Linked DNA regions of Mus musculus. The protein of the gene in region 2 interacts with the protein of the main gene of each other region in a biochemical or structural test. Links are inferred from orthologs where the notes say so. Each region holds a gene or a part of one and is shown on either strand. Other genes may lie near its edges. The genes, in order: Jun, Smad3, Cebpb, Tgfbr1, Nedd9, Zfyve9 and Mecom.

Region 1 (4,171 bases), on a different chromosome or scaffold from region 2:
TTCCTACAATCAGACAGGGGACACAGCTTTCACCCTAGTATATTGGGCACTCAGCTGTCACTTCATCTAGCTATCATTATCTATGGATAATGCAGCAAAGAGGTTGGGGGCTACTTTTCAATAGTTTATTGTATTTTCTTAAATATCCTTTCTGGAAATTTTCAGAAACAAAACATAAAAAAATTATATACTTTATTACAAATGGTAAACTCAGAATGCTTCAAATCTCTTATTTACAAACACTGGGCAGGACACCCAAACAAACAAACATGGAATAACTTACAAAGGCAGGAAGCTGTTTATTGACAGTAATCAGCTTTCATCAAATTAAAAAAAAATATATATGTACATACACAGTTGAGAGAGGCAGGCCAGGGGAGTTCATCTGCAGTCTAGCCTGGCACTTACAAGCCTCCCCCCCCTTCCCAGCCCTCCCTGCTTTGTGTTAAGGAGCACTACAGAAGCAATCTACAGTCTCTATTGCAGTTTGTAACCCCTCCCACCCCCCTTTAATACTGAATGAGATCGAATGTTAGGTCCATGCAGTTCTTGGTCAATGTTAACGAAAAGTCCATCGTTCTGGTCGCGCGCGGGCACAGCCCGTCCGCAAAGTCTGCCGGCCAATAGGCCGCTGCTCTCTGGCTCCACGCCAAAGCCAGGCGCGCCACGTCCTTCCCACTCCAGCACACTGGGGGCGCCGTCAGGTCGCAACCCAGTCCATCTTGTGTACCCTTGGCTTCAGTACTCGGACACTTTTTTTTTCTCTGTCGCAACCAGTCAAGTTCTCAAGTTTGTCTCTGTTATTTTTTTTCTTCCATTGCCCCTCAGCCCTGACAGTCTGTTCTCAAAACGTTTGCAACTGCTGCGTTAGCATGAGTTGGCACCCACTGTTAACGTGGTTCATGACTTTCTGCTTAAGCTGTGCCACCTGTTCCCTGAGCATGTTGGCCGTGGATGCCAGCTCGGAGTTTTGCGCTTTCAAGGTTTTCACTTTTTCCTCTAGCCGAGCGATCCGCTCCAGCTTCCTTTTCCGGCACTTGGAGGCGGCAATGCGGTTCCTCATGCGCTTCCTCTCTGCCTTGATCCGCTCCTGAGACTCCATGTCGATAGGGGACAGGGGCGGCGTCTCTCCCGGCATCTCCGGCACGGTCTGCGGCTCTTCCTTCAGGGCTTGCAGCCGCGGGTGCTGCACCGGGATCTGTTGGGGCAAGTGGTGCGGCGGCTGAGGCGGCTGCTGCTGCTGCTGCGGCTGCGAGGGAAAGGCCAGCCCGGCCGCGCCATAGGAGGGCGCCCCACCGCCGCTGCTCAGCGCACCCGGGTTGAAGTTGCTGAGGTTGGCGTAGACCGGAGGCTCACTGTGCAGGCTGGCGCTGTAGCCACCACCGCCGCCAGCGCCTGCTACTGAGGCCACCGCGGGAGCCACCATGCCCGCCCCGCTGACCGGCTGTGCCGCGGAGGTGACACTGGGAAGCGTGTTCTGGCTATGCAGTTCAGCCAGGGCGCGCACGAAGCCCTCGGCGAAGCCCTCCTGCTCGTCGGTCACGTTCTTGGGGCACAAGAACTGGGTGGGGGTCGGTGTAGTGGTGATGTGCCCATTGCTGGACTGGATGATCAGGCGCTCCAGCTCCGGCGACGCCAGCTTGAGCAGCCCGACGTCGGGCGACGTGAGAAGGTCCGAGTTCTTGGCGCGGAGGTGCGGCTTCAGACTGCCCACCGGGTCGGCCAGGTTCAAGGTCATGCTCTGTTTTAGGATCTTAGGGTTACTGTAGCCGTAGGCACCGCTCTCGGACTGGAGGAACGAGGCGTTGAGGGCATCGTCGTAGAAGGTCGTTTCCATCTTTGCAGTCATAGAACGGTCCGTCACTTCACGCGGGGTTAGCCTGGGCTGTGCGCAGAAGTTTCGGGGCCGCAACAGCGCGCCGGGAAGCGGGGGGATACCCGCGCGTCCCCGCTTCTGTAACAAAGTTTGTTTAGGAGCGTGCGCTCCAGACGGCAGTGCTTCCCCCTGAGCCCTCCTCCCCAGTTCGCTCCAGGGAGCGCAGGGTTAAGACTCCGCTAGCACTCACGTTGGTAGGCTCCCGCGCGATGCCGAGCTTTGAAAAGTCGCGGTCACTCACGGAGCGCTCTCGGGGAGCAGCGGTTCCTTGGAGCCCGCAGACCAGTCCCAGCAACAGCGGCTCTCCGGCGGTGCTGACCAGTCGTCACGGAATTCTCGGTGGAAGCCCGCGATCGGGCTCTGCCGCCCGGCCTCCGACAACTGTCCCCTCCTCCGCTGTGAGGGGGAGGGGGACGCTAGGCAGCCGCGGCTAGCGCTCGCCCAACTTCAGCCGCCTGTGCGAACTGGTATGAGTATAGGTTCCTCTTCTCCCTTTTCTTTACAGTCTCGGTGGCAGCCTTAAGGCGCAGAAGAGATTTGCAAAAGTTCGCTCCCGGCCACTTGTTACCGGTCCTCTGGGTCAGGAAAGTTGCTGGCCGGTAGCCGCTCGCCTATTTCCTCGCGCGGTCGGGAGCCGCTCTCGATGCTGTCAGCAGCGCCCGGACTTGTGAGCTTCTTCTCCGTGGAAGGCGGGAGAAGGGACTCTCCAAATGCTCCCCAAAATACCGGTGCAGGAGCCGCGGGCGCTGGATCCAAGCAGTTGGTGAGAAAATGAAGACAAACGGATGAACAGTCCGGAGTCCGCGGCCGACCGGGTTGGCCAAGTCCGTCCGTCTGTCTGTCTGTCTGCCTGAGCGCTCTCCTGCCAGGCTGTCTCTGCCACACTCAGTGCAACTCTGAGTCCTTATCCAGCCTGAGCTCAACACTTATCTGCTACCAGTCAATCCCTAAAAATAGCCCATGATGTCACCCCGAGGCTTTCCCATTGGCTTGCGTCGTTCTCAGGGGGGCGGGCCCACCCGTCGCCATGGAGACCTCACCCTAGAAGATTCTTCTCTGGGCCCGCGAAGGCTCACGGGATGAGGTAATGCTCCGCTGCGCTCCTACAGTTGGGCCCTTCTTTCTCCTCCTCCCCCCCCCCCCTCCCGCGCTCAGCTTCGGCTTGTGTTCCCGGGTTCCCTCCCCGGCGCGTCTTTCCCGGCCCGCCCGGTGCATTGTGGGCTGACGTCTTGGTTTGGCTGTCTAGTGACGGAGGCTGCCGGTCGGCAGGACCCTTGCGGAGTCTGTCGGAGGCGGGCTCAAGTTCAGGGCTGGGGACTGGGACCGAGACGCGGGGATCCAGAAAGCAGGGGAGGCGCGCTAGTGGCCGGGGGCGGAGAGCTTGGGTGGGAGTGAAGGTTGCACACAGGCGCGCGCCCGCGCGCGGGCACACACACACACACACACACGCACGCACGCCCGAGAAAGGGCTGAATGATCTGAGTGACTGAAGCTGGCTCCGCACCCCCGCACTTCCGGGGGACAGAGCGATGCGGGTTAAAAGGGTTGTGTGCGCCCTGGGTGTGGGAGCACGTAAGTGCGTTGAAGTTGAGCGGGTTTGAGAGTAGCCCTCCAAGATGAGTATGCTTGGAAGTTTAGTTTCGGAGAAGGATCTGCGCCGCAGTGTGCTGTACCTGGAAACCAGAGATTTGCGGTGTTCGGAACCGACTCATCAGGGTCCCCGGCACAACACTTTATTCTCTGGACGTGCCGGGGGAGGGGTGTTCGCTTTGCCTCCGAGGGACCCCTCCTCTAGGTGTGAAAGATGCTAGCCCAGCGCCCATGGGGTGTCGAAAGCAACATATAAAGGTTCGAAACTCAGGAAACCTCGGCGATCGCCTGCGCTAGCACATACACACGGTCCCGCGCACACTCAGTCTGCGCCCGCCCTTCCTCCCTCCCTGATTTGCTTCTGGGAAAACAAGCCTTGAGAGCTGCGGACTCGCCCCAAGTCACGGTGCTTAAGCAGGAGTCCCTGGTAGAAACAGGCTGAAAACTCCCCTCCCCGCTCACTGGTGGAGTCATATCCTGTGCGGCCTCTAGGAAGCGCTAGACACATGTAAGTTATTTCTTTTCTAAGGTTCTGCTATCAGCCCTCCACCCTCCACCCCTCAGGACTAAAGAGGTGGCAAGCTTGGTTCTCCCAGGGCATAAGGGCAAATCTCAGAACTTCTCTGAGCTTTATTGGTCTCATCTAGAAGTAGAGCGAATGAGGTCCACTACACCGGGCTGCCAGGCATTAGTTTTGACTCTGAG
Region 2 (3,500 bases):
CACAGCTGGTGACGGCTAAACTGGCCCTGGTAGTGTCCTGTTAGCTCAGAGACTGTTAGGGCTCTGATAACCAAGCCTAGCTTCCCCCACCCCCAAAGGAGATGGTGAGTCAAGAGAAGCAGAACAGAGTCACACAGCAAATGGGGTCTCTGCTAGTCCACCGGCTACTGGACACGGACTCTGGCCTTTATCTTCTGGGTCATGCAATCCTGGCACTTGGATAGCAAGACTTCAAACAGGTTTATTTTCAGTGTTATTAGTGCCTGTCTCTAGCTATACTATGGAGAATTTAGATACACTTTGTTGTTAATGTCACCTCAGACCAAGCCTGTATCCGGAGGCTACCATGTGACCCAGCTATCTTCCCCAGCCCGAGCATGAGACAGGGCTATCTGGTGGAAGGTGCTCTGACCCTCTGCAGAGCATCCCTATGTTAGCAGGTCCCATGCCCACCTCATTGCCATATGCCCTGCTACTGTAGCAATGCAGGAGCACCTGTCCCCAGGTGGCTACCACACAAGGTATTGGAAACCAAGCTCAGGTGCCCTGCCTCTCTGAAGCCTAGGGTTCTGCCTCAGCCTCTCCAGGCCATACCTGTATCACCTGAGCCCACTTCCAAGCTTCCTTCTTGGCATCCCAGCATCTGGAGGTGGCTCCTATAGGCCGGCCTGTAGCATCCCTTGCACATGCATCTCCCTGCTAAGGGTGTGCAGATCAAGTGTAGTAATAGAGAAGGCCTATCCTTGCATGGTGATGAGCTCAGAGCAGATAGCCACTGGGTGGGACCGTAGTATGCCACTTGAGGTGTGTGAATCCAACTGTTCGGGTGGTCCTGGGATTGGCTTATCTGACTTGTCTATGGTTGGCAGGCTGCAACCTGAAGATCTTCAACAACCAGGAATTTGCTGCCCTCCTAGCTCAGTCTGTCAACCAGGGCTTTGAGGCTGTCTACCAGCTGACGCGCATGTGCACCATCCGTATGAGCTTCGTCAAAGGCTGGGGAGCAGAGTACAGGTCAGTGCCTAAGCTGCCTTTAGTGGTGGTAGAGGGAGCCAGCTCTAGGCAAGGCATGACAGCCAAGGATAGCGTCACAGCCTTAGTCTAGTGCTCAGCAGCTCTCAAGCACCATCAGCATTTCTAGGCCCACTGTGGGGACGCTGGCATTATTCTTGTAGAGATATGGAGGCTAAAAGCTTATGGAGAGTCAGGTGGAAAAGACAGGTCCAGACTTGGCCTCTCCTGGGCTGCTGTGTCCTCAATTTCCTTGGGATGGATTCTCAGGATGACTGTCTTCCCTGACAAGGAAGGAGATTTGAGTGTTTTATAGAGAACAGCTAATTCATGTATATATTTTCATTTAAAGAATGCCAGTTAGCACTTTAAACATGGCACCAGTAATAGCAAGGTCTACCTGGTCTGCTTGGTTGAGGCCCCTCAGGCTGTCTAGACTCAGTTTAATGAGAAGGCAGTCTCCTTTTCCCATGCTGGACAGGAGAGGTCTGGGAGGCAGGGCCACATGCCCTTCTGCTCCATGCCTCCTCCCTGGCCCCCAGAGTGGAGCCGCACAGAGGTACCCACACGTCAGCTGCAGCCAGCGCCTTGCAAGTTCCTCGCCCCTTCTCTTCATTTTTCCAGATGTTTGGAATCGGTTTTGTTTTGCAGTCATTCTGCACCCCAGCCAAACCCATTTCAATATTGGCTCCGGGCCACCGTTTGTAATGAAACCCCGATGAGCATGACTTATGGAAAGTCAGATTCTCAGCAGAGGACGGAGGTCTGTAAAATCTAACCTCGCTGTCTAGGTTTCAGAGCTGTTGCTCTTTCACGGATGCCCCATGGTGCCAGTGAGCAAAGTACCCTGGGCCTTTGAATCTGAGATCCAGGGAGGGTCACCAACAGCTCAGACTGCAGAATAACTCCCAGCCATGCTGTGGTGACCCGGCCCAAAGGTCTGGCTGGGCAGATGCCTGAGCCAACCTTTTAGCCCAGGATTTAGATCATTTAGGGAATCAGAGTGAAAGGTTAGAAAATTAATTCTTTAACGCACAAACCCCGAAGGAAAAGAACTGGGAGGCCTGCTTGCCTTCAGGCAGGGGGCCCAGGCTGTGAACCTCCCGAACTGTTCAAGCAAAGCACTTGAGGCTTGAGGGAGGGTTAGCCTCGGGATGATGGCCCCAAAAGTGGTACAGCACCAGGGCCGCCCATCTTCAAAGATTGGCAGAAGCCCCTCTCTAGGGCACTGTATCACCACGGAGGAAACCCTGCCAGCACACCCCGTCCTACCCGGCTTACTGCGTCACTGCCGCCTGGCAGCATAGCACGGCAGGCAGCCTAGTGGCGGGTGCGGCCCCTTCCCAGAACAGCCATGCCCTCCTGCATTGTGGGCCAAACAGAGTAAGGTTTCAGGCTGGTTCTTTAAAGCAGCTGTAAGCGGGCCTGCAGCCTAGGCCTCACCTCCAGCTGGCACCCGTATGTCGCCACAGCAGATAGCCTTTGCTCGGTGGAGGCTTCTGGGAGCTTGCCTGTGAGCTGCGTCACCAAGCAGTCTGAATTTAGACAAAGTGCTTTGAGGGAAAAGAAATGTGTGGTGTGCCTTGGTTTTTCCAGTAATTGTTCCCCGGCTAGCTCTGCTGGTAATATTTTCCAAAATAAGCCGTAGATGGGATTATAGCAGCACCCTGGGACTTGAAGCATGTGGCCCTGTCAGTGCTTTGTAAAACGCCCTCCATCAGACAGGCATGTCATGACAGCTGCGGGGCTGGCCCAAATCTGGAAGGGGGCTGCAGGCACCTACCCAGTGGCTAAGCTAGGAACCAGGGAGACCTTAACTCAGGCAGGAGGTTCTACATGGGGGCTTCTCCCGGTTCCTGGAAACCGACCTTCTTTAAATCTTTGAGGTCCTCTCCCTCCAGCAGAACCCGACTTACACAAAGCCCTCCCAGGAGGACTGGTCTGGTTCAGCCACATTTGCTAGTACCACCTCTAGGCACTATTTACCTATCTAGCACAAAGAGAGATCTCTGTCTCGGGGTAGCAGAAAGCAGTGTGGTAACTCAACTTGTGTGTGTCCTCAACATTTTAATCTCTCACCTCTTCCCTCTTCTTCCAGGAGACAGACAGTGACCAGCACCCCCTGCTGGATTGAGCTACACCTGAATGGACCCTTGCAGTGGCTTGACAAGGTCCTCACCCAGATGGGTTCCCCGAGCATCCGCTGTTCCAGTGTGTCTTAGAGACACTAGGAGTAAAGGGAGCGGGTTGGGGAGGGCGGGCTTGGGGAAAATGACCTTGGAAGAGAACTCCATCCAACTTGGTCTTGTCAAAGAACACCGATTCCACTCAACTAAGGCACCAGCCTGTTTCTGAGACCACAGAAGAAAACCCCAGGGATGGATTTATGAACAGCTGTGTCTGCTACATACACGTGCCCCTGTCTGAAGGCCAAGTGATGGCTTCTGTTCTGGTGGCTTGAACTAACAGGTGGTGTATCGCCACCTGAC
Region 3 (3,193 bases), on a different chromosome or scaffold from region 2:
AGAAAGGGAAAGCAGAGTAGGAAGTGTTCCCTTCACCTTCCTCTCGGCCCAATCTCTCTTCCAGCTACACAGGGACACAGACACCAAACAGGCGTGCGGTCTCCCCCACACCACCAAACACACAGAACTCACCTGCCCTGACCCAGCTGTCTGGACTAGCCTTTCCTACAGAATGTCTAGTCCTCTCAACACAAGTCTGACACTCAAACCAAGCCGAGGGCGGCCCGTCCCAAGCAGGGTTTCTAGCAAGTCCCCCAGCACCCGTGGGTGCTGAGTCACCCTGAATTCCTGACCTGGCACTCTGCCCCCTCTCCTGGGGGGAGGGGCTGACACCCCATCTGCCATGGGAAGAGAAAAGCCCAGATGCGACACCCCCACCCACCGCCACACACAACCCAAAAATAACCCGCAGCCCCCTACACACCAGAAACACAAAAACAAAATCTCGCATAAATCCAAAGTCGGGAGGGAAGAAAAAAAATTTTTTTTCAAAAGCCAACTACTGCCCCCAAAAGGCTTTTAAACATTCTCCAAAAAAGTTTATTAAAATGTCTTCACTTTAATGCTCGAAACGGAAAAGGTTCTCAAAATATACATACGCCTCTTTTCTCATAGAAATAGAACTTTTTTATATAATACAAAAAAAATAATAAGACCAAAAAAAAAAACAAAACAAAACAAAAAACAAAAACAAAACCAAAAACATCAACAACCCCGCAGGAACATCTTTAAGTGATTACTCAGGGCCCGGCTGACAGTTACACGTGTGTTGCGTCAGTCCCGTGTCCACACGCGCTCAGCCACGTTTGATCCGGATTGCATCAAGTCCCGAAACCCGGTGCGCTGTGCAGGTGCGTGCGCGCGGTGCCCGCGGTGTGCCCGCGGTGTCCCCTCGGTGCAGGTGCAGGTGCGCGCAGGGCACGCACGGTGGTCCGGGCGCGCGCGCGGGGCCGGAGCGCGCGGGGCAGGGCGCACGGTGCCCAGGGTGGCCGCGGCGCCCCCCACGCCACCCGCGCCGCGCTAGCAGTGGCCCGCCGAGGCCAGCAGCGGCTCGGGCAGCTGCTTGAACAAGTTCCGCAGGGTGCTGAGCTCTCGCGACAGCTGCTCCACCTTCTTCTGCAGCCGCTCGTTCTCCGCCGTCAGCTCCAGCACCTTGTGCTGCGTCTCCAGGTTGCGCATCTTGGCCTTGTCGCGGCTCTTGCGCACCGCGATGTTGTTGCGCTCGCGCCGCATCTTGTACTCGTCGCTCAGCTTGTCCACCGTCTTCTTGGCCTTGGCCTTGGCGGGCGCGGCCGGCGGCCCCGCGAAGCAGGCGGCGGGCGCGGCCTTGGCGTCGGCGGGGCTCGGCGTGCCGGGCGGGCTGGACGACGACGACGTGGACAGGCTGCCGCTGCTGCCGCTCGGCGTCGCCTGGTAGCCCAGGTAGGCGCGCAGGGCGAACGGGAAACCGGCCGCCATGGCGGGCGCGTCGTCCGCGCGCTTGCAGTCCGCGGGTTCGAAGCCCGGCTCCGCCTTGAGCGCGGCGGGAGGCGGCGGCGGGAAGCAGGCGGGCGGCGCGGCCTTGGCGCCCGCGCGGCCGAGGCTCACGTAACCGTAGTCGGCCGGCTTCTTGCTCGGCTTGGCGCCGTAGTCGTCGGCGAAGAGGTCGGAGAGGAAGTCGTGGTGCGCGGGCGCGGGCGCGGCGAAGTCCGCGGCGGGCGCGAGCGGCTCCAGGTAGGGGCTGAAGTCGATGGCGCGCTCGTGCTCGCCAATGGCCGGCTCGGCGGCGGGGGCGCGCGGCGCGGCGCGGGCCGCCTTGGCCCCGTAGGCCAGGCAGTCGGGCTCGTAGTAGAAGTTGGCCACTTCCATGGGTCTAAAGGCGGCGGGCGGCGGCGGGAGGCATGCTGCGTCCCAGGCCAGCAGGCGGTGCATGAACGCGGGGCCCGCGGGCTCCGCTGCGTCCCGGTCCCGTGCGCGGCTCGGACTCGGCGCGGCGGCGGCCGAGCGGGAGGTTTATAAGGCGGCGCCTGGCAACGGGCTGCGTCACGCTGGGGCCCCTCCCGCCGCCCCGCCACCCGGTCGGTGCGCGTCATTGCCCGGCCACGGGAGCGCGAGAGGGCGCGGCGGGGAGTGGGGCGCGGCGGGGGTCCTCGCGCGGGAGGCTGAGCGGTGACCCGGGCGTCCCGCCAGCCCCGCGATGGCCACGGACGCGGGTGACGCCAGCCCGCCCCCTTCCCGCCCCTCGGGAACACGGAGGAGCGCGGCCGCCGCCCGCCCCCTGCTGGAGGACGCGGTGGCTCGTCCCGGCTCCGGTCCGCTGTCCCGGACCCCCAACTCTTGGGAAACAGATCGTTCCTCCAGCTACACGACCCCAACCCTCGGATCCTGCCCGCTGTCCCCGGGCCCCAATTCCCTGGAAGCAGCCTTCCACGGGGTGCATGTCCTCCCACCCAGGTGCTGCCCACACCTCTGGGACCCCCCCCCCAACTCCTGGGAAGCAGAACTCTCCAGGTGCACGCCCACCCCGGGGATGCTCGCTGTCCTGGATCCCAGCCCTCCACCCTATGTATGGCCCGCCTACCGCACCTGCCTACGCCACTCCCTGCGCCTCTCCATGAAGGTGGCAGGGCTGGGGGTTCTGCCACACTGTGTCTGGGTGAGTCACTTTGCTTCTGAGTTCCCTCCGTGGACAGTGTTGGTATTGTTAGTAGTGGTGTCATCAGAGACAAACGGACCCCCGAGAAGTACGATGCCTTCCTAAGACCTGCACAGCCCTGCCCAGAGGCTTCTCAGGTGATTGCGGTGGGAGCATGGTAGACCCCACTCCAGCCATAAGGACCCAGCGGTCACCCTGCAAGCTGGGGAGGCAACCCCTCCACCCCGTGCACTTGAATGGGCTGGGATCACCAGCCTCTCTCCGGTGAGACCCTTTTGAGGACGCCCAGGGCAACTCTTGGGGCCCACCCTTCTGCCACTCCTAGGTGGGCCACTCAAGCAGGAGCTGCCAACCTGTCAGGGGCTGACCCCCGACCCATTGACCCCAGCCCTGGCCCCGGCAAGCTGGCGGGGTGTTGCTCAACCTTCGGTGTTATCTGCTGAGCTGGGGTGACCTCCGCCCCCAAGAGCTGGAGAAATGACATCTCCCTGTGCCCTTGGGGGTGGGGGGCAGGGAGGGAAAGGGTAAGACGCTAGCCCTGCCTGCCTGCGGCTTTCT
Region 4 (3,500 bases), on a different chromosome or scaffold from region 2:
AAAGAAAATATCAAATAAAAATGCAAGTTATAAGCTTAAAGACAAACAAACAAAAACAAAGAGGAAATATGAACTGACCAAAGTCATAGAGCATGTGTTAGAGTCTAAACCTATTGATTGCTAGCCACACATCAAATTCCAAAATTGTTTTTCTTATAATTTACTTATGTATTTTATACATATAGGTATTTTGTCTATATGCATTATCTACACATCAGAAGAGGGCATTGGTTCCAGAGATTAGTTAAAGACAGTGAGAGCCAACATGTGAGTATTTTGATTTGAACTCAGGACCTCTGGAAGAACAGCAGTGCTCTTAAGCACTGTGCCATCTCTCCAGCCCTAAAGTCCAAAACTGTAAAGGAGGCACACTTCTCTTAGTCTTCTTCCAAACCACAGACAAGGGAAAAAAAGGTATTTTCTCTTTGGTCTAAAAGCAAAATACTATTATGCTAAAATCTATTTCAGCATGATCCTGACAATCAGCCAGTCTACTTCTGAGTCCACAAAAATCAACAAACAAAGCCAAGAAAAACAAACATTCATTCACAGGACTACTATTTTTGTTTCTTTGTTTGAAATTTTCTTTTAAATGTAAAAAGTTACTAAAGATGCAATAGTTTAATTTTAAACAATAAACGAGACTGGTCTGATCATCTGCCACCAAGCCTGCTAACACGAGTTTGTTTCCCAGGATCCATACAGAGGAGAGAGAGAACTGACTCCTTCAAGTTGTCCTCTGACTTCCACATGGATACTGTGGTTGGCAGGCATGTGTGTGCAAACACACACACACACACACACACACACACACACACACACACTTTTTATTAAAACAACAATTTTGTATCATGTTAAAGAGGCTAATCAGCTTCCAAATTCCAGAACAGTCTCAGAGCTGCAGAATGGCAGATGCATCTTTTAGCTGCAGCTCTATCTTTGTAAGAATGGTGTCCAACTTTCTACCTCCCAGGCTCAAGTTATATAGGGGAGGATGTGTGGAAGCCTATACATCTGTGACTTGTTTCAATGGTAAAACCAAGTTCCAATTTATCTATATTAAACTATCCAGTCAGACAGCAAGCTCAACAGTTTTCAATAGGCTGCAATCCTGTATAGTACTCATACTATTCCAAAGTTTTAACAAATTAAGCCAAATGCCCCAACCAACTAATTAAATAAAATAGGAAAAATGAGTTAAGACTTAAGAAAAAGGTAAACAATAACATTACCTGATCCAGACCCTGATGTTGTCATATCATAAATTAAATCTTTTAAGGTGGTGCCCTCTGAAATGAAAGGGCGATCTAGTGATGGATCCTCTTCATTTGGCACACGGTGGTGAATGACAGTGCGGTTATGGCAGATATAGACCATCAGCATAAGTGCAATGCAGACGAAGCAGACTGGACCAGCAATGACAGCTGCCAGCTCCACAGGACCAAGGCCAGCTGACTGCTTTTCTGAAAAAGGTCCTCCAATGAAATAAACATCAAGAGAAACAAAACACTGTAGGTGGCACTCACAGTTCCCAAACCCTCCATATCCCTCCACCCCCACCCCCGTGTCCACTACTATCATTTAGTCACACAGGGCTTCCCTCCCTGGTCTCCTTTGTCAGACCATCAGCTGTCAGTACCCTCTCACTCTTCCTGAGTATCCCCAGCCTATCTTATAGTTCACCATTGGGTTCATTAGCTAAGCCCCTTCTAGACCTCCTTCCCCACTTGTCACCTCAGGTAAACAAGAAAAGTAAACAATTATTTGAAACAACTTCTAATAACTCATTTTTTTATAAAGCACTTTGGTCTTTTCTTCTTATTCCAAGTTTACTGCAGGATTATAGCAGAAGAAATATATATAAATATAGTTAATAAAGTTTTTACAAATTATCAACTTCCTTGCAAAGCTTCAGACTCATATTTTATTATATACTTTTCCACCAACTATTTTTTTTAAGATTTATTTATTCATTATATGTAAGTACACTGTAGCTGTCTTCAGACACACCAGAAGAGGGCGTCAGATCTCGTTACGGATGGTTGTGAGCCACCATGTGGTTGCTGGGACTTGAACACTGGACCTTTGGAAGAGCAGTCGGGTACTCTTACCCACTGAGCCATCACACCAGCCCTTCCACCAACTTTTTAAAGCCTAAGACTTCCTTTGTTTACTTTTGTTTTTTATTCTATTTGCTTATTTATAAATTTTTAACTCTTTCCCTCAATTTTTTGTGAGACGGGGTTTTATCACCATAGTTCATCCAGGCTGGTCTCAAATTTGGGATTCTTCAACCTCTGCATTCCAGCACTGGATATTAATACATTGTGTATGCACATCCTTTCTAGACTATTTTGCCAACTGTATTTTTTTATTAGGTACTTTACGTACATTTCAAATGTTATCCCCTTTCCTACTTTCCTCTCTGAAAATCCCCTATCCTCTCCCTCCTCCCCCTGCTTCCCAACCCACCCACTCCCACTTCCTGGCCCTGGCATTCCCCTATACTGGGGCATAGAACCTTCACAGGACCAAGGGCCTCTCCTCCCACTGATGACTGACTAGGCCGTTCTCTGCTACATATGCAGCTAAAGCCATGAGTCCCACCATGTATTTTCTTTGATTGGTGGTTTAGTCCCAGGGAGATCTAGGAGTACTGGTTAATTCATATTGTTGTTCCTCCTATGGGGCTGAAAACCTCTTCAGCTCCTTGGGAACTTTCTCTAGCTCCTTCATTGGGGACCCTGTGCTCCGTCCAACAGATGACTGTGAGCATCCACTTCTGTATTAGTCAGGCACTGGCAGAGCCTCTCAAGAGATGCTATAACAGGTTCCTGTCAGCAAGCTCTTGCTGGCATCTGCAATAGTATCTGGGTTTGGTGGTTGTTTATGGGATGGATCCCCAGGTGGGGCAGTTTCTAGATGGTCATTCCTTCAGTCTCTGCTCTGAACTTTGTCTCTGTAACTCCTTCCATGGGAATTTTGTTCCCCCGAAGGATTGAAGTATCCACACTTTGGTCTTCCTTCTTTTTGAGTTTCATGTGTTTTGCAAATTGTATATTGGGTATTCTGAGCTTCTGGGCTAATATCCACTTATCAGTGAGTGCATATCATGTGTGTTCTTTTGTGATTGGGTTACCTCACTTAGGATGATATCCTCCAGACACATCCATCTGACTAAGAATTTCATGAATTGTTTTTAATAGCTGAGTACTAAGTATTCCATTGTGTAAATGTACCACATTTTCTGTATCCATTCCTCTGCTGAGGGGCATCTGGGTTCTTTCCAGCTTCTTGCTATTATAAATAAGGCTGCTATGAACATAGTGGAGCATGTGTCCTTATTACAAGATGGAGCATCTTCTGCGTACATGCCCAGGAGTGGTATTGTTGGATCTTCTGGAAGTACTATGTCCAATTTTCCGAGGAACCACCAAAATGATTTCCAGCGTAGTTGTACCAGCTTGCAATCCTACTAGCAATGGAGGAGTATTCCTCTT
Region 5 (3,500 bases), on a different chromosome or scaffold from region 2:
AGTCCTTGCTTTCTTTGGTTTTGGTTGCATCTCATTCCCTGGAATTCCCTTATTTGGCCTCAATGGAAAACCAGTTAGCTTGGGCTTGCCTGACTTGGGTCTTGTGTCTTGAGACTGAAAGCTTTAAACCAAGTACTCCTAACGGGTGATAGATGTGCAGGCACAGTCTGAACAAACACTGCCATTTGGATGCAATCCAGGCACACTCAGCTGTAGTCATAGGCCACACACCTTCACTTTGTTCTCTTGTCCTATTACATGCCTGGGACTTCCTTCTTCCTGCCAGTGTGCCGGGAGGACCCCAGGCTTTGGGAGCTCTCCGTTCCCTACCAAACGGTGTGCTGTCTGCTGTGTTCAAACCTACCTGGTGATGCTCCAGCTGCGCCTTACTCTGCTTCATGATGTTCTCCTTTTCCAAGAGCTCCTTCTGCTGTCGCTCAAACTCCTCCTTGCCCTGGTGTGTTCAAAACAAAGACAGTATTACCTCCTTGCTGTGAGACACTTATGGGGACAGTTTCACTGACAAGTATACTCAGACCTTTATTATCCACTGGCCACTTCCCTCATGTCCAGTTAGACATTGTAAACCAGAGATTAGCGACTTCTGGAATTGCCATGGAGATAGGCTGAAGAGTAAAGCCTGTGTCCGTGTGGGCCACCACGGTCACTGCTAGCTCCAGTTGAAGAGCTTCTGAAGATTCCCAAGCATTCTTTTTCCATGGCTCTTTTAAAATAGATTGGATGTGAACCATGTGCTTCCAAACAAAGGTTAAAAAAAATGGGTGCATAGTTCACTTCTGATTCCTTTGACTATTCTGCATCTCTCTACCCATCCTTAGTATTCTCCAGTCTACAGCATCAGAAGACCAGTGGAATGTTAAATGCTTTCCTCTAACCTCGGCCAATCCTCAGCATGAGATGTGGTTCAGTTGATCCTTTCTACTCTCTTGCGTCTGGGGGCTGCTGGTATTTTAATCGTTTTCAGCCTAACTCATGGCTCTCAGTCCAATGGAAAAGAATGGCCGCCTAAAGCACTAAGCCAAACACAAAGGCATGGATTATGGTAGAGTGTTGGAATTCTTCAAAGCAGACAGGGAAGCCTTCAGGGTTCCAGGTCCATTTGGGAGCTAGCACAGTTTATACTCATAGGAAGCAGTTTGTGGATTTTAACATAAGTAGGTCAAGCTGTTGGCCACTTGGCAAGGGATCACAGGGTCCTCTGGATCTGATGGAGCTCTGTGTCTTTGTAAGCAGCTAAACATACACACATACACAGACACACAGACACACATACACATATGCACACACTGTAGGCTGAAAGAGTACCTTAGAAACTCTCTATGTACATATATTTCCAATAATTTCTAAAAAATTAACAGTGATATATATTTAAACTTATTTCTGTTATGATGAGCTGTTCCATGAACCTGTGCCATAAAAACACAAGCCGAGGGAGAAGTGATTCTATGGCTGATGGACTCACCAGTCAACAACATTGATGAGTCTCCTCCAGCTTTCCTGAGGTGTATCAATGAGATGTCATACAACCATGTGAGCTAAATTAATTCTCAAAATAAAATTAAGGTCCAGGGAAGTTAGACAAAGTGGCTGTACATTTTTTTGGACAACCTCACCCTCAGTTTTCACAACAGTTAGATTAACATGTTTTGCTATCGGTCCAGCTCACAGCCTTATGGACATCAGCCTCCTATCGGTCCAGCTCACAGCCTTACGGGCATCAGCCCCGAGTCTGGGTGGTTTATAGGTCTTACCTGTAGGTGAACATAATCATAATCATCCATCCAACTCCGCTCAGAACCGTCACTGCTACCGCAGTCTGGTGGCTGGTCCTTGCTTAGACTAGGAGGCAACGGCTTACTGTGGACCTGGGCTTTGTAGTCACCAGGATGCAGTGGCTGCATCTGGGAGCCCGGATGTGTGTACTCGCTTGAGTTCATGATGCTGTTGGGCCCATTCTTCAGATGGGAATTGGCAGGATCTGCTCTAAAGAGGGTCTCCGCGTAGGTGCTGATGGTGGTGGTCAGTTGTTTGGCGTCGTCTGGCACTGTCTTGGCGACCATCACAAACCGGTCTAGGTCATCACACTTATTTTGGGGCTTATTGATAGCTAAAATATTCAGGGACCAGCTGCATTCATTCAAGTCATGGCTGGTTTGGCTTAGAATCTGGTGGGAATCTTCTACTCTTTGGAGTTCCCGCTTCATTTTGTTGTGGAGGACCAGTTCTGGGAGGCAGGAGGCATTGGCTAAAGCTCCCTTGGCAAAATGGAGGTATTCTCGTAAGAACAGCTCTACTTTGTCCACCGCGGTGCGGATCTCATTGATGTGCCTTTCCATGTATCCGTAGCACCTCCAGTCTGTGGTGACCAGTGACATGAGGCTGCACACACCCATCTCCAGGGTCTGCTGGAGCCGATAGAGCTTCTCTATGGCTGTGTCTGGGTCCAGTCGGAGCCTTTTGTCTTGAGACGGGGAGGCTGACAGTGAAGACTCCTTTGAGGAGGTGGAAGAGGTGGACATGTTACTCCTGGTACTGCCAGTGCTGGAGAAAGACAGTCTGTTGATCCCATCTACCACGTCCCGAGAGCCTTTGGCATCTGCTGGGTTGTGCAGAGGGACATCGTAGACACCGTCTCTTTCCTCCGGATTTGCCTTTTCACTGGTTTCTGTTGGTACCTCCAGAAACTGAACTCCCCGGGGGACATCATAGGCATCACTCTGAGTGTCCCCAGACTGTCCCAGCTGAGAGGGTGCATGGTGCAGGGAAAAGCTCTGGTGTCTTCGTGCCATTGGTTCGACACCTCCTGGAGCATCACAGGGGAATTTGATGTGAAGGTCCTTGCCTGCTGTCTTGGTGCTGGTTGGAGGGATGTCATAAACCCCCTCAGGTCTGGTGTCTGGTTTTCCATCTTGCTTCATTGGAGGAGGGAAATCATATTCCTTTTCCCTGAGCCCTGCCTCATCTCGGCAAGCCGATGGTGGAATGGCATAGACCTAAAAACGTAAGTAAAAAGCCATTTTATTTGTTCAGTTGAGACTTTGATGGAGGCAGAAAGTGAATAGCGTGGTCCAGAGTTCACAGCACTGTTCGTTCCATCTTCTTCCTCTCCTCTCATCATTTACTACCTCAGATGTTTCCCAGCATGCAGCATACTCCTTAGAGGATGTATGCCTTTGTCCTATTACCTGAGCATTCTTAACCATTCTTGTTGCTAGCTTGGGTATAGAGCCCTCCCTCCTAGCTAAATTGCTCATCACTGGGTTGCAGTCTCATGTTTCTAACCATTCACTGACTGTCCTACACAAACTGATCTATGCTGAGAGACAGAAGACATTGATACACTGGGCAGAGGGACCTGTGTTCCATTCTTGGTCATCAGGCTGCCTGTGTGTGTGTGTGAAGCTGCCTGGGTCTTCTTTGTATTCAAAGGCACAGTCCCCTATCTGTTCAGCAAAGCTAACTGCACTTGCAGTGCAAGC
Region 6 (3,500 bases), on a different chromosome or scaffold from region 2:
GTTTTGAGTCTATTAAATCCAGCTCATAAAGAAAGGGCCATGCTGAAACTAGAAAGTCATTTTACAGCTGTCATAGTGAAAGAGCAGTGCAGGCAAGAAAACATCAGTGGTGCTAAACCGAAGGGGAATTTTGAGGAGCAAGATCTTTGCATAGATTGAAAAGTTCTGCATATATTAGTTATTACTAAAAGGGTAAATACATAGTTGGGAAACTGGACATGGTGTACTGGTGATAATGAGCTTTGCCACTGTCTCTGAAAGGCAGATGGATATCAAGTGTTTCTGGCCAATAATCCAAACTCAAATGAGGTATTTTCTACTAAAACCAAACAAAAATCCAGGATGTGAGGGCCCAAAAAAAAAAAAAAAAATTCCATGCCACAAAGAGATAAAGACAAGCTTAAAGCTATGTGCAGCGTCTGATACTAAACTGGAAAGTTCTCTGTTGAAGAAAGGTTCCCAAAGGTTCTGGGCAGGTATGAGGTTAGAGCCTCCAGACACTGTGACTTGACTTAAGGATGAGGGGCTGTACTGTATGCACCTTAATCTGAAATACCTCAGTTTAATAGAGGAGGGGAAGACAAGCACTGACGAACCAAAGGGGCAAAGTGCTAGTGTGTGAGCGTGTGCGTCCGTGTGTGTGTGTGTATGCGTCCCTGTGAGCGTGTGTCCGTGGGGCTGTAGAAAAGACGCCTTGTTTTTTTTTTTCATGTACAACTTTCCTGGAGTTTAAGAGATTTCTTAGTAAAATGTTCTTTAAAAATACTTCTAGTGTGTAGTAAATAACAATGCCCTGGGTGCCCATTGCCAGCTGTCACTCAGCTTCTCTATCCAAATGCCCTGGTTTATACTGAGTTACCTTCCCTGGCTAACAGACCAGAAACCCCTTTGGTTTGATTCAGTTAGTAATCTGAACAAATAAACACGAATCTAAACATGACAAACAGCTGGGGGTGCAACCAGGATGATCAGCATAGCGGTCTTTTTATGCCAGTTCTGTACAGGAAGTACAAAAGTGACGATTCATTGTTTATTTCCTTTCTGCCCCCCATTGTGACCTTGGTGATGGTTGTGCCCATATGAGCATTCATCTGAGCACATGACCGGAAGTAATCATAAGAGAGGAGCAGAAGTCTTGTCTAGACAGTAACAGAAGGGAGTTAGCTGCAAAGATAGCATATCTGTTGTGCAGTAAGAAGCTGCCCGGGTCTTCTTGGAGAATGCATAGAAGACTTAGAATCATGGAACATCTGTCCCCTACCACCCTCCCCACCCCATCTCCCCTAAGTCCTATTCCCACCCCAAACCCTCCCTACTGACAGTGTTAACAAAAAGCTTAATCTTCCAGTTTTAAAGTGCAAATGATTTGGATATGACTGCTGCTGCAACAGGTCTGAACAGAAACAATGGAGTCCTCATCTATGCGATGTTTTCCAGAATATAAAAGATGAGTTCCATGACGACAGGGCCTTCACTGAGCTGGCAGGCTCCTCCATGAATGACAGGCACCAAGGCACTGTCCAGATCGTTCATGTACTGCGAGGGAAGGGGCTGGCCATTGCTCCCTGCTTGATAGCCAACCTACCACAGAGAGAAAGGGATGACAGGTTACCGGGCAGGGATCTCTGCAGAGGGCTGAACCAAAGAGGCCAAGCAGGGAATACCACACCCTTTGCCATGAGCCCAACACAATGATAGTGCACACAAATTCTTTTCTTTTTACTAGTTTATCATCTTCTATCTACCCTGGCTACTTGATAGCTGTAAGACCTTTGGCTAGTCCCTTAGTGTGCTAATGTGTGTTTCCTGGGAAGAGAAATGGTGAGTCAGATGATAATCCAGGCTCTGGTTGTAAAGTTAAAGTGAGGCATATAACAAACAGCATCAACTCCAGCCTGTGCAGTCATCAGAGCACTGTATTTTGAGCAACTGAAAACAGAAATTCAAATATAAAAGGCCCTTTCCCTCAAGAGGGTCACAAATTTAGCAGAAAAATGCTTGCTATCCAACTGTCCCACGGGAGGGGCCTCTCTCCAGATGCTATCAGTACTGTGAGGTGGAGCAGGATACCTCAGTACTGTTTGTTACACAGGTAGACTTTTGATTTTCCTAACCTGCATTTGATGTATGTGTATGGGTGCGTGCATGTACCATGGTACATGTGCCACGACATGCATGTCGAGATCAGAGGACAATCTTAGGAGTCAGGGTTATGGGGACAACTTGCCAAGCTTGACAGCAGAATGGATGCCTTTACCCACTGAGCCATTTTGCCAGCCTGGTTTTTGTTATTGTTTTATTATTGCTGTCTTACGACAGGGTCTCATCTCAAACTTGATATGTGGTAGCCAAGGATGATCTTAAGGTGGTTTTTTTGTTTTTGTTTTTGAGACAGGGTTTCTCTGTATAGCCCTGGCTGTCCTGGAGCTCACTTTGTAGACCAGGCTGGCCTCGAACTCAGAAATCTGCCTGCCTCTGCCTCCCAAGTGTGTGCCTGGCTGATCTTAAATTTTTTGTTCCTTCAGTCTCCACCTCTGAAATACTAAGTTACCAGTGTGCCCCACTGTGCTCAGTTTCTGTGGTACTGAGGATCAGTTCCAGGGCTTCATGCCTGCTAGGCAGGCACTCTAACCTGAGCTACATCCTCAGCCCCAGATAAGCCCCTTGCAGCTTAGGACAAGACCCTAAGTGAAAGTAAATACTAGCTGATGATGGCCAGTGAGGAAATAAAGCCAGACACAGAACCTTTTACCCTGCCCTGGTCAGGTATTTAGTTAAATTCTGCAATAAAAGGCCAGATTCCCCCCATGTACGTACTCAGGAGAGAAGCGTCTCTGTGGCAGAATTAATTACTGACTCAGAGCCCACACTCACTTCTTCTTGAAAAAATAAACTTATTTTATTATTATTTTTTTTAATGTGTGTATGACTGTTTTGTCTGCATGTATGGATGTGCAACATGTATGTGCCTGGTGCCTAAGGAGGTCAGATCCTCTAGAACGGGAGTTAAGGATGGCTGTACACCACCATGTGGGTGCTGGGAACTGAACCAAGGTGCTCTGCAGAGCAACACGTGCTCTATAGGTGAGCCATCTCTCCAGCCCCTCCCACACGCATTTCTAATGACTTGGCACTAGCAACATGTAAGCATCCAATGCAGGACTAAAGACACAGGAGCGAGATTCTAGGAAGAGGAACTGGGGTGTAGGAGGTGAAGACTGAATTATTAATATAAAGAGCACATAAAAACATCAAGCCAGGGGTTGGAGAGATGGCTCAGTGGTTAAGAGGACTGACTGCTCTTCTGGAGGTCCTGAGTTCAAATCCCAGCAACCACATGGTGGCTCACAACCATCTGTCATGATATTGGATACCCTCTTCTTTTTTTTTTTTTAAAGATTTATTTATTTATTATATGTAAGTACACTGTAGCTGTCTTCAGACACTCCAGAAGAGGGAGTCAGATATCGTTAGGGATGGTTGTGAGCCACCATGTGGTT
Region 7 (4,100 bases), on a different chromosome or scaffold from region 2:
TGCCACGCGCAGTTCGGCAAAAGGAAATAGCGCTTTAAAATACAAAAATCCGTAGTTCTGATATGATTTCCTTTATTGCTCAGACGGTAGCTGGAAAACTGCACTACGCGGCGCCCGTGTCTCTGGAAGGCAGCCGCAGAAGCAGTAAAAGCCCCGCTAGTGGGAACCTGGGGCTCAGCAGGAAAAGTTCCTAAGGCTGGGGTCCTGCTCTCTAGAGAGCACATGGGCATCCTTACCCCACACGAGACAAAAATCAATGTGTCTCACATGCGGTGACTGACAAGTCTCATCAGATCAGAAAGGAGGCTCAGCTTCTGGACTCAGTAGTGGGCTACAGGGTGTACAGCTTGCTTAGCAATTAAAATAGCTAAGGCGCGCGGGGGCGGGGGCGAGCCTTAAGAAAATTCGAAAGGTTTTGCGTTCAGCTTTCGCTTCGTCGGATGCTGGGCAACCAAGCAGGGTGAAAGCCTTAGGCTTTCATTTCACAACTTACTGCTCGGTTGAAACGATCTCCCCGCCTCCTCTCAAATACACACACACACACACACACACACACACACACACACACCCCTAACCTTTGAAGTCTCAAAGCCATCAAGCATGTGTACATTTATTCCCTCTCAGAAGAAAATAAAGACTCAGTGAAAAGCCAACAGGAAAAACAGTTTCGCTGGCGCACTTTACACTGTTGCAACGAAGTGAAATGAGCCGTAGGAGCAGAGAAAGAAGCCGGCTGACTGACCGAGGAGGCCGACTGACGGCCCAGTATTTAGGTTGATCTCTGCGACCCGAGTTCCAAGAGAAAAGATGCCGCTAGAGCGTATGTGAGTGCAGGACACGAGTGCGGAGTGGCTGGAGCACTGGAAAGACGCCCGGGAGGACAGCGTCTCGCCGGGCGTTACGTTGCATTCCCCACACCGGGAATGCCGGGGGGCTACGACTGTAGCCGGCGCCGCTGTGCCAGGACGCGCCCGGTGGTGCTGCATGGAGCGCCTCCAGCCCTAAATTCCAATGTGCAAGGGATGGGGGGGTACGCTTGGGGACTTCACTGGGGCAAACATACTATCCACATCCTATCTTTAGTCTCTCTGGTCCGAAACAAAACAATTAAGAGAGTTCGAGATTCCTCAAGTCCAAGTGTGAGAGGCATGGGCGGCCTGGCCGGTCCTTTCCCGAAGCAGCTCTGATGTCCGAGGGAGTAAGAAGGCGGCAGGCTGCTCGTTGGGCCCCCTTCAACGCTGGGCAGAAGCATTTGAACAAACCCACCTCAGACTCCTACTAGTCCCTGCTAAGCAACCCTTCCCACCCTACCCTGTCCTGGAGTGTCACCCAAGCCTTCCCTGAAAGCGTGGGGGATGGTAGTCTAGTCCCCCATAGCCCCAAACCCCACTACCCTAGTCCCGCGTGACCGAGGCTGCTCCGCTCCGGGCAGACAGAGGGCGCCGGGGAGGACGAGTGACCCGGGACCCCGGCTGCACCCAGAAAGAGAACGGCAGGCTGAGCTGCTCCCCCTTGGTGGCCCCGAGTTCCGGCAGCCCGCCCCCTGGGGGTCACTCGGCGCCCTGCCAGCCCGGGCTTCTCGGGTCGGAGCGCGCCCTCCTGGCCTTACGGAGCAGCGTTCTCGGCTGGCCGCGCGCCCTCCACGCCCGGGCCTGAGAACGCCGGCGCGGCCTCCGCTCTCCCCACCTGCCGAGTGACTCTGCGGAGCCGAGAGCTCGGCGCTGCCGGGGTTCCCCCCACCCATCCCCAGGACCGTGTCCCCCCCGGCCCCCCTGCCTCCCCTTCCCCAGGGCTCCCGCCGCGTCGCACACGCCGCCGCGTACAAGGACCGAGCGCACAGCGCCCACTACCGCAGCCGCGGCTAGGCGCAGCGCCGATCGCCCGCGCAACTTGCAAGCGGCCGCCTCGCAACTTTTCCCAACTCCATCGCGGCCGGCTGCGGCCACAGCCACCGCGGCTCCCTCGGAGCCCGCCACCCGTCCCAAACCCCAGAAACAAACAGAGCTTCAGAAAGGCGCCCTTCCCCTGCCCGCCCCCCCCCCACCCGCTTCCCCCCTCCTCCCGCTCCGGGAACTAGCTGGTTGGCCAGAGGCGACTCTCCCCCGCCTGGGGGGGGAAGGGAGGGGAGGGGGACACACTCTCCTCTCCCCCCACCCCTTCGCGCTCACTCGCGCGCGCCCTCCTCCCTCCCTCCCAGCTTTTTGCTGCCCCCACCCCCACCCCGGAGTTGCCACAGCTGGTCCTGGTGCGGGGCTCAGGGCTACCGCGCTTCCACTGCGCCCAGAGCAGGAGCCAGGGCGCGGAGGCAGGAATCGGCAGGTTGCTCCGGCTGCCGGCTGCGCTGTGCCTGCCTTCCACCCCAGGCCCCCCGCGCCAAAGCAGCCCGCGCTCTCTCCCCGTGCGCTAGACACAGATACGCAAGATGGCAGAGAAGGGGGGGAAGCCAATAGAAAAGGGATATTGCACCTACTTGTGGCCAGTTTCCTTGCCCTGCCTTTGGATCTCATGCTGTGCCCAGTCCTGCAGCCGCTGCTGGGTGGTTAGGTTTTTTTTTTCTTGGATCTTTTCCTTCTTTTGCTCTCTCTCTCCCCCTCCCTTCTCTCTCTCTCTCTCTCTCTCTCTCTCTCTCTCTCTCTCTCTCTCTCCTCTGTCTCACACACGCACACACACGCACACACTCGGTCTTTCACTCTCTCTCCCTCCCTCTCTCTCTTTCTCTCAATCCACACTCGCTATCTCTAGCATTGTCAGTTTGGACACCTTCGCACATGCGCGTTAGACGCCCCTCCAACATCTCAGCGCCGCCAAAAAAAGTTTGGAGCGATTTATCACTTTGATTTGGAGATCTTGTCAGATGGCAATCGCCGAGGAGGCGGAGAAAGGGAGCTACGGGGAGGGCGGCAGGGGGCGGGGAGCGAGCGCGGGGAGCTGGAGGGGAGCAGACACTTCGCCCAAACGGGAAAAAAAATAAAAAGAAAGAAAGAAAAAGAAAAGAAATGAAAAGTCTTGGACAGAGAATTGATTCGTGGGGCAGAGGACTATGTCTGTGTGGGAGTCAATAAGCCTGCATTATAATTATTATTAATGTTTTCTCCACCATAAATTACATTGTCTGTAGGGGAACCGAGCGGAGGAGGGAAAAAAAACTTTAGGATAAATCTTTCCGTCTACACAAGAACTAGGCTGAGGACTGGACCGTGAACGTGTTATCAGAAGGCGAGAAGCATCTTGAACTTCAGAGCTCTGCCCTTGCTGCCGCTCTCTCCTTCTGAAGTTCCTGGGGCTTCCGCTTTGGATGAATAACCGGTTCTCGATTTTAGCTGTAATACCAACGGTAGCTGCCATCCTAGGAACATTTCAGTAGTCTGTTTCCATCAAGTAGCAACAATCGCCCTTGATGCCCAGGTCCCGCCGGGCTGAACATTTGACATCCAAGACCTCCTGCCTTGCCTAAGGTCGGCCGGCACCTTCCGGCCTCCTGCTGCTACCCAGCCCGCCTGCCATTTCCACTCACTCACTGAAACCTACAACCTCTGGGGTCACCAGAAGGAGGAAGGGGGGAAATTCCATACGCATACCTAGAAAATACAAAACGTACATTGTTGAAATGTGCCTAATTACAGAATTTACTAATGAAGTGTGCAGGCAGAAATGAAGGCGCAAGGGGTTAGGTGTGTTCAAGGTATGAATCACTCCCAACTCAGTATGGATTTTTCTTAGTACAACCTTCTTGCATTAAACAGTTGTGTTCAATACCTTCCACGTGCTATTTATGTCTCCATTAATATCTGCTGCAAATCCTGCCAGACACCATAAAAGAAAATTGCCATCTTTTCCGTGCGGTGCTGCTACCATCCTAAAACTCAAGTCGGAAGAAGCAGGAAAGTCCTGGTCTCTCCTCTGAGAGAGCAAGGACGAGCAGGGTTGTTGGGAACTCAGTTGCACCTGTTGGTATTCATTTAGTTTGAGCTCAGACTGCGGTTGTGAGAGAGCGAATATCTAGGTTCAATTCCCAGGGGCTTCGGTGGCCAAGCTTACAGGACCTACCTCATCTAAGAATACCCACCACCTTTCCCTCCCCAGAGCTGTGTAATTCCAGG

The links.
Region 1: the proteins of Smad3 (region 2) and Jun form a complex in vitro, tested with the Homo sapiens proteins (3 studies listed by BioGRID). The link is inferred for Mus musculus from reciprocal best matches to the Homo sapiens genes SMAD3 and JUN.
Region 3: the proteins of Smad3 (region 2) and Cebpb form a complex in vitro, tested with the Homo sapiens proteins (2 studies listed by BioGRID and IntAct). The link is inferred for Mus musculus from reciprocal best matches to the Homo sapiens genes SMAD3 and CEBPB.
Region 4: the proteins of Smad3 (region 2) and Tgfbr1 form a complex in vitro, tested with the Homo sapiens proteins (2 studies listed by BioGRID, with this or other methods). The link is inferred for Mus musculus from reciprocal best matches to the Homo sapiens genes SMAD3 and TGFBR1.
Region 5: the proteins of Smad3 (region 2) and Nedd9 form a complex in vitro, tested with the Homo sapiens proteins (2 studies listed by BioGRID). The link is inferred for Mus musculus from reciprocal best matches to the Homo sapiens genes SMAD3 and NEDD9.
Region 6: the proteins of Smad3 (region 2) and Zfyve9 form a complex in vitro, tested with the Homo sapiens proteins (2 studies listed by BioGRID and IntAct, with this or other methods). The link is inferred for Mus musculus from reciprocal best matches to the Homo sapiens genes SMAD3 and ZFYVE9.
Region 7: the proteins of Smad3 (region 2) and Mecom form a complex in vitro, tested with the Homo sapiens proteins (2 studies listed by BioGRID). The link is inferred for Mus musculus from reciprocal best matches to the Homo sapiens genes SMAD3 and MECOM.

Annotation. Positions count from the first base shown.
Region 1 is NC_000070.6:95,049,423-95,053,593, forward strand, and holds the start of Jun (transcription factor AP-1), read right to left. Parts: upstream 2,801-4,171; 5' UTR 1,850-2,800; coding exon 845-1,849; 3' UTR 1-844. UniProt on the Homo sapiens protein: Transcription factor that recognizes and binds to the AP-1 consensus motif 5'-TGA[GC]TCA-3'.
Region 2 is NC_000075.6:63,649,995-63,653,494, reverse strand, and holds part of Smad3 (mothers against decapentaplegic homolog 3), read left to right. Parts: intron 1-869; coding exon 870-1,014; intron 1,015-3,109; coding exon 3,110-3,233; 3' UTR 3,234-3,500. UniProt on the Homo sapiens protein: Receptor-regulated SMAD (R-SMAD) that is an intracellular signal transducer and transcriptional modulator activated by TGF-beta (transforming growth factor) and activin type 1 receptor kinases.
Region 3 is NC_000068.7:167,687,740-167,690,932, reverse strand, and holds Cebpb (CCAAT/enhancer-binding protein beta), read right to left. Parts: upstream 2,019-3,193; 5' UTR 1,912-2,018; coding exon 1,021-1,911; 3' UTR 501-1,020; downstream 1-500. UniProt on the Homo sapiens protein: Important transcription factor regulating the expression of genes involved in immune and inflammatory responses. Also plays a significant role in adipogenesis, as well as in the gluconeogenic pathway, liver regeneration, and hematopoiesis.
Region 4 is NC_000070.6:47,391,222-47,394,721, reverse strand, and holds part of Tgfbr1 (TGF-beta receptor type-1 isoform 1 precursor), read right to left. Parts: intron 1,476-3,500; coding exon 1,233-1,475; intron 1-1,232. UniProt on the Homo sapiens protein: Transmembrane serine/threonine kinase forming with the TGF-beta type II serine/threonine kinase receptor, TGFBR2, the non-promiscuous receptor for the TGF-beta cytokines TGFB1, TGFB2 and TGFB3.
Region 5 is NC_000079.6:41,314,002-41,317,501, forward strand, and holds part of Nedd9 (enhancer of filamentation 1), read right to left. Parts: intron 3,015-3,500; coding exon 1,773-3,014; intron 455-1,772; coding exon 365-454; intron 1-364. UniProt on the Homo sapiens protein: Scaffolding protein which plays a central coordinating role for tyrosine-kinase-based signaling related to cell adhesion. As a focal adhesion protein, plays a role in embryonic fibroblast migration.
Region 6 is NC_000070.6:108,637,840-108,641,339, forward strand, and holds part of Zfyve9 (zinc finger FYVE domain-containing protein 9), read right to left. Parts: intron 1,582-3,500; coding exon 1,420-1,581; 3' UTR 1-1,419. UniProt on the Homo sapiens protein: Early endosomal protein that functions to recruit SMAD2/SMAD3 to intracellular membranes and to the TGF-beta receptor.
Region 7 is NC_000069.6:30,506,960-30,511,059, forward strand, and holds the start of Mecom (histone-lysine N-methyltransferase MECOM), read right to left. Parts: upstream 2,801-4,100; 5' UTR 2,508-2,800; coding exon 2,471-2,507; intron 1-2,470.